Rhinolophus ferrumequinum: one gene and its partner. The protein of the gene in region 1 purifies or fractionates together with the protein of each later gene. This does not show direct contact. Links are inferred from orthologs where the notes say so. Each region holds a gene or a part of one and is shown on either strand. Other genes may lie near its edges. The genes, in order: MTOR and AKT1S1.

Region 1 (3,912 bases):
TTGCTATAAAACCATCTTTGTCAGTTAGAAAACAGAGCCTTATCGTGTCTTAGAGTGGCAAAAATTTCATATGAAATGAAAATTGGTACCTCCCTTATAGAGATCAATTTCATAATATCCATCAAACTACACGTGCATTTACCCTCTGACCCTGGATACCCATTTCTGGATTTTTTGGTATAGCTGCCAGGGAATAAAATTATATACATATGTACAAAGGAATTCATTGCAGCATCATTAGTAATAGCAAGAATTTGGAAACAACACAAGTGTCCATCAACAGAGGACTCGAAAAATAAATTATGGTACATCCATGTAATAGAATACTACTATGGAGCTATAACAACAACGAAGGAACAAGGAAGCTTTCTATATAGTAAGATAGAAAGATCTCTAAGGTACACTAAAATTTTAAAAGTGCAGAACAGGGATCAGTAGGTGGCTCAGTTGGTTAGAGCACGAGCTCTCAACCACAGGGTTGCCGGTTCAACTCCCTCCAAGGGATGGTGGGCTGCGCCCCCTACAACTAACAACGGTGACTGTGGAGCTGAGCTGCGCCCTCCACAAGTAAGACTGAAAGGACAATAACTTGACTTGGAGCTGACGAGTCCTGGGAAAAACACACTGTTCCCCAATAAAAAGTCCTGGAAATACAGTGTTCTTCAATAAAGCCCTTCCCCAATCAAGTCCTTCCCCAATAAAAAAATCTTTAAAAAAAAAAGTGCAGAACAGTGTATATAGTATAACAAAAGGGGAAAATAAAAATGTTTATACTTGCTTGTATTTACATAAATAAAATCTAGGGATATGTTAAGTAAGAAAATAAGTAGTGAAGAGGCAGGGGTGGAGCACAAAATTATATATTGTGATAAATGTAATTTTTATTTATTTTGAGATTTGAACAGTGAATACATTATATTGGAAAATGTTTAATGATTAAATATAGAGATGTTGAACACAAATAAACAATGTGAAATTCAGAGGAACAATTTTCACAGAAGAACCAATGCAATGAAAAGATTCTCGGGTCCATAAGTAGCGCTAGTCTGGAAACACACTCCTCTTAGAATTAAGCCGGGCGAGTTCGCGAACCCCCGCCTACCGCCGCTACCAGGCAGCCGACTAGGCACGGCGCAGCTCCGAGGCAGAGGGGAATAATAGTACCGATGCACCGGATGTGTGCGTGGAAGTGACTGAAGTCAACTCACCACTGATTGGTTCTCCGGAGTGGACTTAAGCCTCCTTTCGCCTGCCACTGGCCGCGTAGTTTGTCTATTTGAGCAGTCCCCGCCCCCTGGAGAAGCCGGGTCCCGAAGCTTCACTTCTCCTTCATTACTATTGGTGTGTGTTTCAATCCATCTTCGCCTTACGCCTGCCGATTGGTTCTTAGGTCTGGGAGCCAGCCCTCCCTGCCGCCGGCTTAGAGGACAGCGAGGAAGGCGGGTGGTAGGGCCCCGGGCCTGAAGCGGTGGTACCGGCGCTGGTGGCGGCAGCTGAGGCCTTGGCCGAAGCCGCGCGGTGAGTCTGGAGCCTGGCACCGACCCATGCAAGGCGGCGGAATGTCCAGACCCACAGCCAGCCTGGTCTGTGGAGGGCCCGGGGAAGCCGCCCTTCTGGGCCCTGGGGTCCCTTCAGAACTGGCCCCAGACTTGGGCGCCGCCTGAGCCCTTAACCCCCACCCTGCGAGGCAACGCCCACCTCCTCCCGGACCCCCAGGAGACCCCTGGATCCTTGAGCCTGCCGTGCGTCTCTGGCTGCGCGAAGGCCGGCCCATCAGCTCCGGTACTATCGGGGAGCCTTTGGGTCTCCTTGTCCGTCAGTCACCCCTTCTTCGGAGCCACCTTACAAATTGTCCTCAGAGAAGACCAGCGTCAGTCTCAGCCCCTTGCACTCCAGTCTGGAGACTTCTCAAGGAACCTTTACCCGGAGCTGAGCTCGGTTCCATCCTTGGGTTTCATCCCTCTGCCTCCCCCGCCCCCATCCCTAGTTTCAGCCACCCAACTTGAACTTCTGTAAGCCCTCCCCAGTTCCCTTAGGGCATTTGACTTCCAGCATTTTAATTGCATTCTGCCTGGAGCAGATGGCCTGTGGGCCTTAGACCTTAAAAAGATAGGCTGGTTCTTTCCTGAGAATAGAAATTCCTTGCCAGCCTCCCTCCCCGTCATCACAGAGGCGCGGTCACACACCCTATAGTAGTTTTCTCATCAGGGATCCTTGGATATTCCCTCCCCTGGAGGAGGACATTTCCTTCTGCAGTCTTTTTTCTGGCACTGGAGTATTTAAAAGGTTTTCAAAACCAATGATTCCGTGTGTTTTTTTCCCTTGACATCGCAAATTCTTTCAAAAATAAGAATTTTGAAAAATTGATATTCTACTATAACCTGAACATACCTAAGTTAGGTATATATGTTACTCCCGTAGCAGTCTGGGCCAACCCCTATTCTGGCCACTTTATTGTGGTTGCCTGATTACTTGTATTTCCCCTTAGATTGTAAGCTCATTGAGGGAACGGACAGGTACATAATTGAGGAATGAATGAATGGTTTCAGGAACTAATCAGTCTCTTTTAGCTCACATTTCAAGTACTAGTATTCTACAGAACTGCACTGTCCAGTACGATAACCACCAGCCATGTGGCTTAGAGCGCATGAAATAATAACCATGTGGCTTAGAGCGCATGAAATGTGACTAGTCTAAATTGAGATTGCCGTTAAGTGTAAAATATACATTAGATTTTGGAGACTTGGTACAAAAAAGAATGGAAAATATATCAATTTTTTATATTGGTAACATGTTGAAATGATAATTTTGGGTATATTGGATTAAATAAAATGTATTAATATTGCCTGTTCTTACCTTTTTGATATGGCTACTAGGAAATTTAAAATTACATTTGTGGTTTGTGTTATATTTCTGTTGGACAATGCTGCTATGGAATAAAAATTTCCCTCTTTAAATTGAACTCTCTGAGGAAAGGCAGTCTTAGGCATGTTTTATTCTCTCTCTACCTCCCCACCTCTAGTTTCTGGCACTATAATAATAGCTAACAGAACTCACTGTGTGCCCGGCACTGTTTTAAATACTTTTTAACATGTATTAACTCATTTAATCCTCACGTCAACCCTATGAATTAGGTAGTAGTATTCCCCTATTGCAATGGAGGAAATAGATATTTCAAGTATCTTCTCAAGGTACATAGTTTTGGACTGGATTCAAATGCAGGTAGTGTGGCTCTGCAGCCGGCAATTTGACCCTGTTACTACGCTGCCTCTGAAACATCAGTCATTATTGAATAAATAGTGGCTTTCTCCACTTTCCTTAGTGAAGTCTCCCTGCCTGACATGGACAGGGTGGAGATCGGTATGGAGAAACTGGAGTCGTAAATAAACTCACTGCCCTAGTTTGTTAACCAGGATTTTAAAGGAAGCTTCTCTTCAAAGAACCTCAGGGCAAGATGCTTGGAACCGGACCTGCTGTCGCCACCACAGCCGCCACCACATCCAGCAACGTGAGTGTTCTGCAGCAGTTTGCCAGCGGCCTGAAGAGCCGGAATGAGGAGACCAGAGCCAAAGCTGCCAAGGAGCTCCAGCACTACGTCACCATGGAGCTTCGAGAGGTGGGGGCTTCTGCCATCTGGGGCCATCCCTGGCGTGTTGGGGCAAAGTGTGCCATCACTGGCTTAGATTTCTTTGGACAGCTCAGTGAGATTCTGTTTGAGAGATGCACCCAGTTTCTCGTGTCATAGAATGGGCAATTTCCTTTGCCGTGGTTACACAGTTCTGTGGCATTTCCTATTTTGTAGTGACATTTTAGGAGTCAGCATAGAGAGTTATTTTTAAAATTTGTTTTCTTTTCCCCACTGCATTCCAGATCTTCAATTCTTTCTGCTTGATAACAGTGGTCGGGACGGGT
Region 2 (3,912 bases), on another chromosome or scaffold:
CCATTGCCTGGACCTAGAAAAAAAGCAAGTGGAGAAAGGCAGAGCAAGAGAAGCCTACCTTCTTGGAGAAGAGGATTTGGGTGGAATCTCCAGCCTCTTCTACGGGAGCCCAGTGCAGGAGGACATCATTGTCCTGAGGGAAGGAAGGCGGTGTTAAAAGGACTCTCGTCTTAACTCCCCAAACCATATTGCCAAACTGCTTCCCCATTTTGGACCCTCAGCCTGACAAAGCTCCGTTTCTCTCTCCAGTCCCGCAATCATCCTAAGGTCCCATAGCTCACAACCAGACCATACTCCTACAGATGCCACCTCCATCCCGCTCTGTTCCATCCCAGCCCACCTTCTCCACAACACGGATGACGCCAGCGATGAGGGAGTCCGGGTCCTGGTGCTTCTTGGCACTGGTGTGCAGGTACACGCCTCCCTTCTCAAACACAACCTGGGGACAGGAACCAGTGAGGGGCGGGACCCAAGAGCAGAAAGACACCTAAGGGGCGGGGCCCAGGAGGGAGCCAATGGGAGTAGACCCAGGGAGGAGCTATTCCCCATGGGGCAAGGCCTGGGGGAACCATTTTCTAAGGGCATGGGACTACGAGTAGTGAAGCCTGCATACCAGACAGGCGTCCGGATACTGGGCGATGGAAGGAAAGAGGGGAGAAGGAGTAGGGAATTGTGTTATAAAAGGGGCGGGGTCCATAAGAATATCTCAGCAGCTCAGGGGGCGGGGCCAAAAGATATGGGTCTTCCTTAGGGCAGTGGAAGCAAGGGTGACAGCGCGTCACCAGGGAATGGTGTGTTTGCTAAGGATCGGCCTGGCTCCGAGAGATCTGGCACGACCTGAGGGAAAAGCAGACCACTGTGGGGGGGCGTTCCATATAGACAGAAGCGAAAGTGCGTACTTAGTACTCACCCTGTAACCGGCTCCCTCCATAGCCGCGGCCCAAGCCCCACTGTCTCGGGTCCCTCCTTTTCCGGGTCAACATGCTGTCATATCCGGATAGGAGACTCCCCTCAAGCCCGGACAGTGGTAGTGCCTTTGCCTGTTCTAGAACAGGAGTGGGTGTAACCATCTTTCAGAATGGGGTGGCCCAAGTTGAACCACGAGGGTTTAAGTCATATGGCGCAGACTCTAAAGGTGGAGACCAGCGAGGGTGCGCAAGCGCAGTGATACCATCCTTTCCACGAAGTAAACAAGGAGGCGGGTCCAATAGCTCCACCCCCTCACCCAAACGCTTCGAAACGCCTACTACTTTCTCCATATTGTATACTGGCATCGAAGCCCAATAGATGCCCTTTTGCTTGAGGGCACGACTAAAGCGGGTCAGCTGCGGCCATGTCAACGGGGGGCAGTTCCATCGCTCTGCGGAGCGCGATGGCAGGGTCCTGGAAAAGAGAAACGGAGAAAGGAAAACAACGTTGAGAGGAGCTGTACAGCAAAAGAGGCGCTGAAGAACTCGGGTTAACGGGATGAAGCCGTCAGTATCCCCGGGAACGAAGCGGTCCCAGACGAATTCATGAGTCACTGTCGAAAGAAAGCGGTCTGAGACACCATATTGAAATTGGGCAAACCGAAGCAAGAAAGGCTGCCATGTTGGATCTTTGCCAGTCTTGGTGCTGAAAGGGGATAGGCTGGAGAGTCCATATACCTTAAGGGCAAATGATGCCAGGCTGGCTGCCATGTCATCAACGGGCACTGCTTTTCTTATGTGGAAGAGGTTGATTATAAATGAGGGACGTCAAGTGGCTTGCCTTAGTTTACTGTGGTCCTGAATGTGTATGTGCAAGGCGACCATATTTCTTGGGGTCAAATCGAAATGATCTCGGTTTGTTTCCGAACAAACTGAAGCATTTCCCCATCCTTCTTATCGTCACCCTGCTGTCACCGTTGGCTCACTGATCCGGTGAAGCTCCTGTAGCCGCCATCTTTGTATCGGGCGGCCCGATAAGGGAGGCGGAGTGTGCAGAGTGGAGGCGGGCCAACCACAGGGAAGTGACGCAATTCGCCGCCATGTCTCTTGAGGGCGGCGACGGCGCCGGTTCGGCCATGCTGGCTACGGGCACGTGAGTGGAGGCGGCGTTGTGAACCACGGTGTGGGGAGGACTTGGCGGTCCGGAGGAGAGGGGCGCTGGGAGGGCGAACCGCTAGCGAGAGGGGTATGGCCTGCGTAGATGAAAGGGAAGAGATCGCCCAGCGACCGTACGCTGAGCGCTGGAAAGGGATCCCTGGCGGGAACCGTTGTGTCTGACCCGAGGCAAAACCTAGACAGCCTTACCTTCCTGTCTCTAGACCCATTAGGATCCTTACTTTGACTGGACCGTGTCCATAGGGTCGGAGGGTTGCTTGGGGGACCTTGGGGCGCCCCTCAACCGTCTAAAGGCGGGACTTCCGGTTATGCTCCCCACCTGGGCAGGATTTCCTGTTTTCTTTCTAGAGAAGAGGGTCTTTGCTGGTCCCCGGGAGAGGTGGGGTAGGTCTCTGAGAGGTGGAGAGACCTCAGATGTTCACCCCCGGCTGCGGGGTGCATCCTCCAGTTCACCCCACCTTGGAGCCGGGGCACTTTCAGTTTGACAGGTGTTTGGAAGGGGGCTTCACTAACATCCGTCATTCCTTGGGGGACTTTTCCTTTCCTCACCTCTTCCTGGAGTCAGTTTCCTCACTTCATCATCTAAGAGGCCACTCACCTCTCCTTACCCCTCCTGTGGGGGACAGGTTTCACCATTGTTTCCCTCTCTTCTTCATCTTAAACTCCTCCATTTGGGGGAGGGGGTCCTCCATTTCTCAGGTCGTTGGAGGACACAGGGCTTCCAATAGAAGCTGAAGAGAAGGGAGACTCCCCAGATCTTGGTTACTCTCCTCTTGGGTAACTGACTCCAGAGAGCCCCCAGGCTTTGGCAGAGAGGTCTGTGTGAGTTGCCCTCCTTCTCTTTGCCCATGCTCTCTGAGATGGGGGGACCCTTACTCCCACTCAGTCTCACTTCACTCTTTGCAACTCTCTGGCCACTCTAAGATCTAGGATAGAGAGGAGTTTAATCCTGGTGTCCCAAAGAAGTGAGAGTCCCAGGCCTACTACTGTCAGGCTGTGCGACCTTGGACCAGTCATTGCCTTGCCCTGAGCTTCAGTTTCCTCCTTCATCAGATGGGGATGACCCAAAGAGCTGTGAGACCTTGAGCACCTCCCAGTTCTGTTTGGTTTTGGAGTCCGGCTGGCAGCAATTTCGGCCTCACTTCTGCCCTTTCTAGCTGTGTACCTTTGGGCCACTGCCTTAAGCTCTTTGAGCCTCACTTTCCCCATCTGGACTAGGTGATCATAAATCTTTCCTCACAAGGTAGGTAGGAAGACGTTTGGAATTCAGAACAGGCTGCCAGATCCAGGTCTCCCGCTTTCCTCTCCAGCTGTCTGACCCTGGTCAAGATCTTGACTCTCGCTGGGTCTCAGTTACAACTGTGAAATGGGGCGGTAACAGCTCCTCCCTCACAGGGCTGGTGATGAGAATGTTGACACACTTAAGTCCCTGCCGGGCATGTGGGAGGTGGGGGATGAACTTGCCATGGGGTCTGTCAGGAAAGGTGCTGTTTGTGTTGTCACTGCGTGTGGCTTGCGGCAAGGGCTTGTACTCTGGTTGTCTTATTTGTGAGGTGACAGCTCCCACCTTGGTGGGTCAGGTAGGAGGTGAGATGAGAGATGCAGAGTCCCTGCACAGAATAGGTGCTCAGCAAGCACTGGCTTCTATGACTGTGAGTCACAAAAGGCCTGTGAATAGAAATCAAATTACTATGACCCCGGTGAGCTGGATCACAGCCTCGTTTGAATCCCTCCAGTGATGGTGTGCTTGCTTCTTCCTCCAGGAGGCTTCTCAACTGCCCAGCAGCCCTGGCTCAACCACTCTGGTTTATAGGGGGAAGAAAGGCTC

The links.
Region 2: the proteins of MTOR (region 1) and AKT1S1 purify together in Homo sapiens (affinity purification with western blotting; 8 studies listed by BioGRID and IntAct, with this or other methods). This does not show direct contact. The link is inferred for Rhinolophus ferrumequinum from reciprocal best matches to the Homo sapiens genes MTOR and AKT1S1.

The regions. Positions count from the first base shown.
Region 1 is NC_046292.1:7,570,667-7,574,578, reverse strand, and holds the start of MTOR (serine/threonine-protein kinase mTOR), read left to right. Parts: upstream 1-1,386; 5' UTR 1,387-1,518; intron 1,519-3,440; 5' UTR 3,441-3,454; coding exon 3,455-3,616; intron 3,617-3,912. UniProt on the Homo sapiens protein: Serine/threonine protein kinase which is a central regulator of cellular metabolism, growth and survival in response to hormones, growth factors, nutrients, energy and stress signals.
Region 2 is NC_046298.1:44,905,054-44,908,965, reverse strand, and holds the start of AKT1S1 (proline-rich AKT1 substrate 1), read left to right. Parts: upstream 1-1,333; 5' UTR 1,334-2,008; coding exon 2,009-2,061; exon of another isoform or gene 2,062-2,154; intron 2,155-3,912. Other genes in the region: TBC1D17 (TBC1 domain family member 17), read right to left, coding at 59-133, 341-439, 911-931. UniProt on the Homo sapiens protein: Negative regulator of the mechanistic target of rapamycin complex 1 (mTORC1), an evolutionarily conserved central nutrient sensor that stimulates anabolic reactions and macromolecule biosynthesis to promote cellular biomass generation and growth.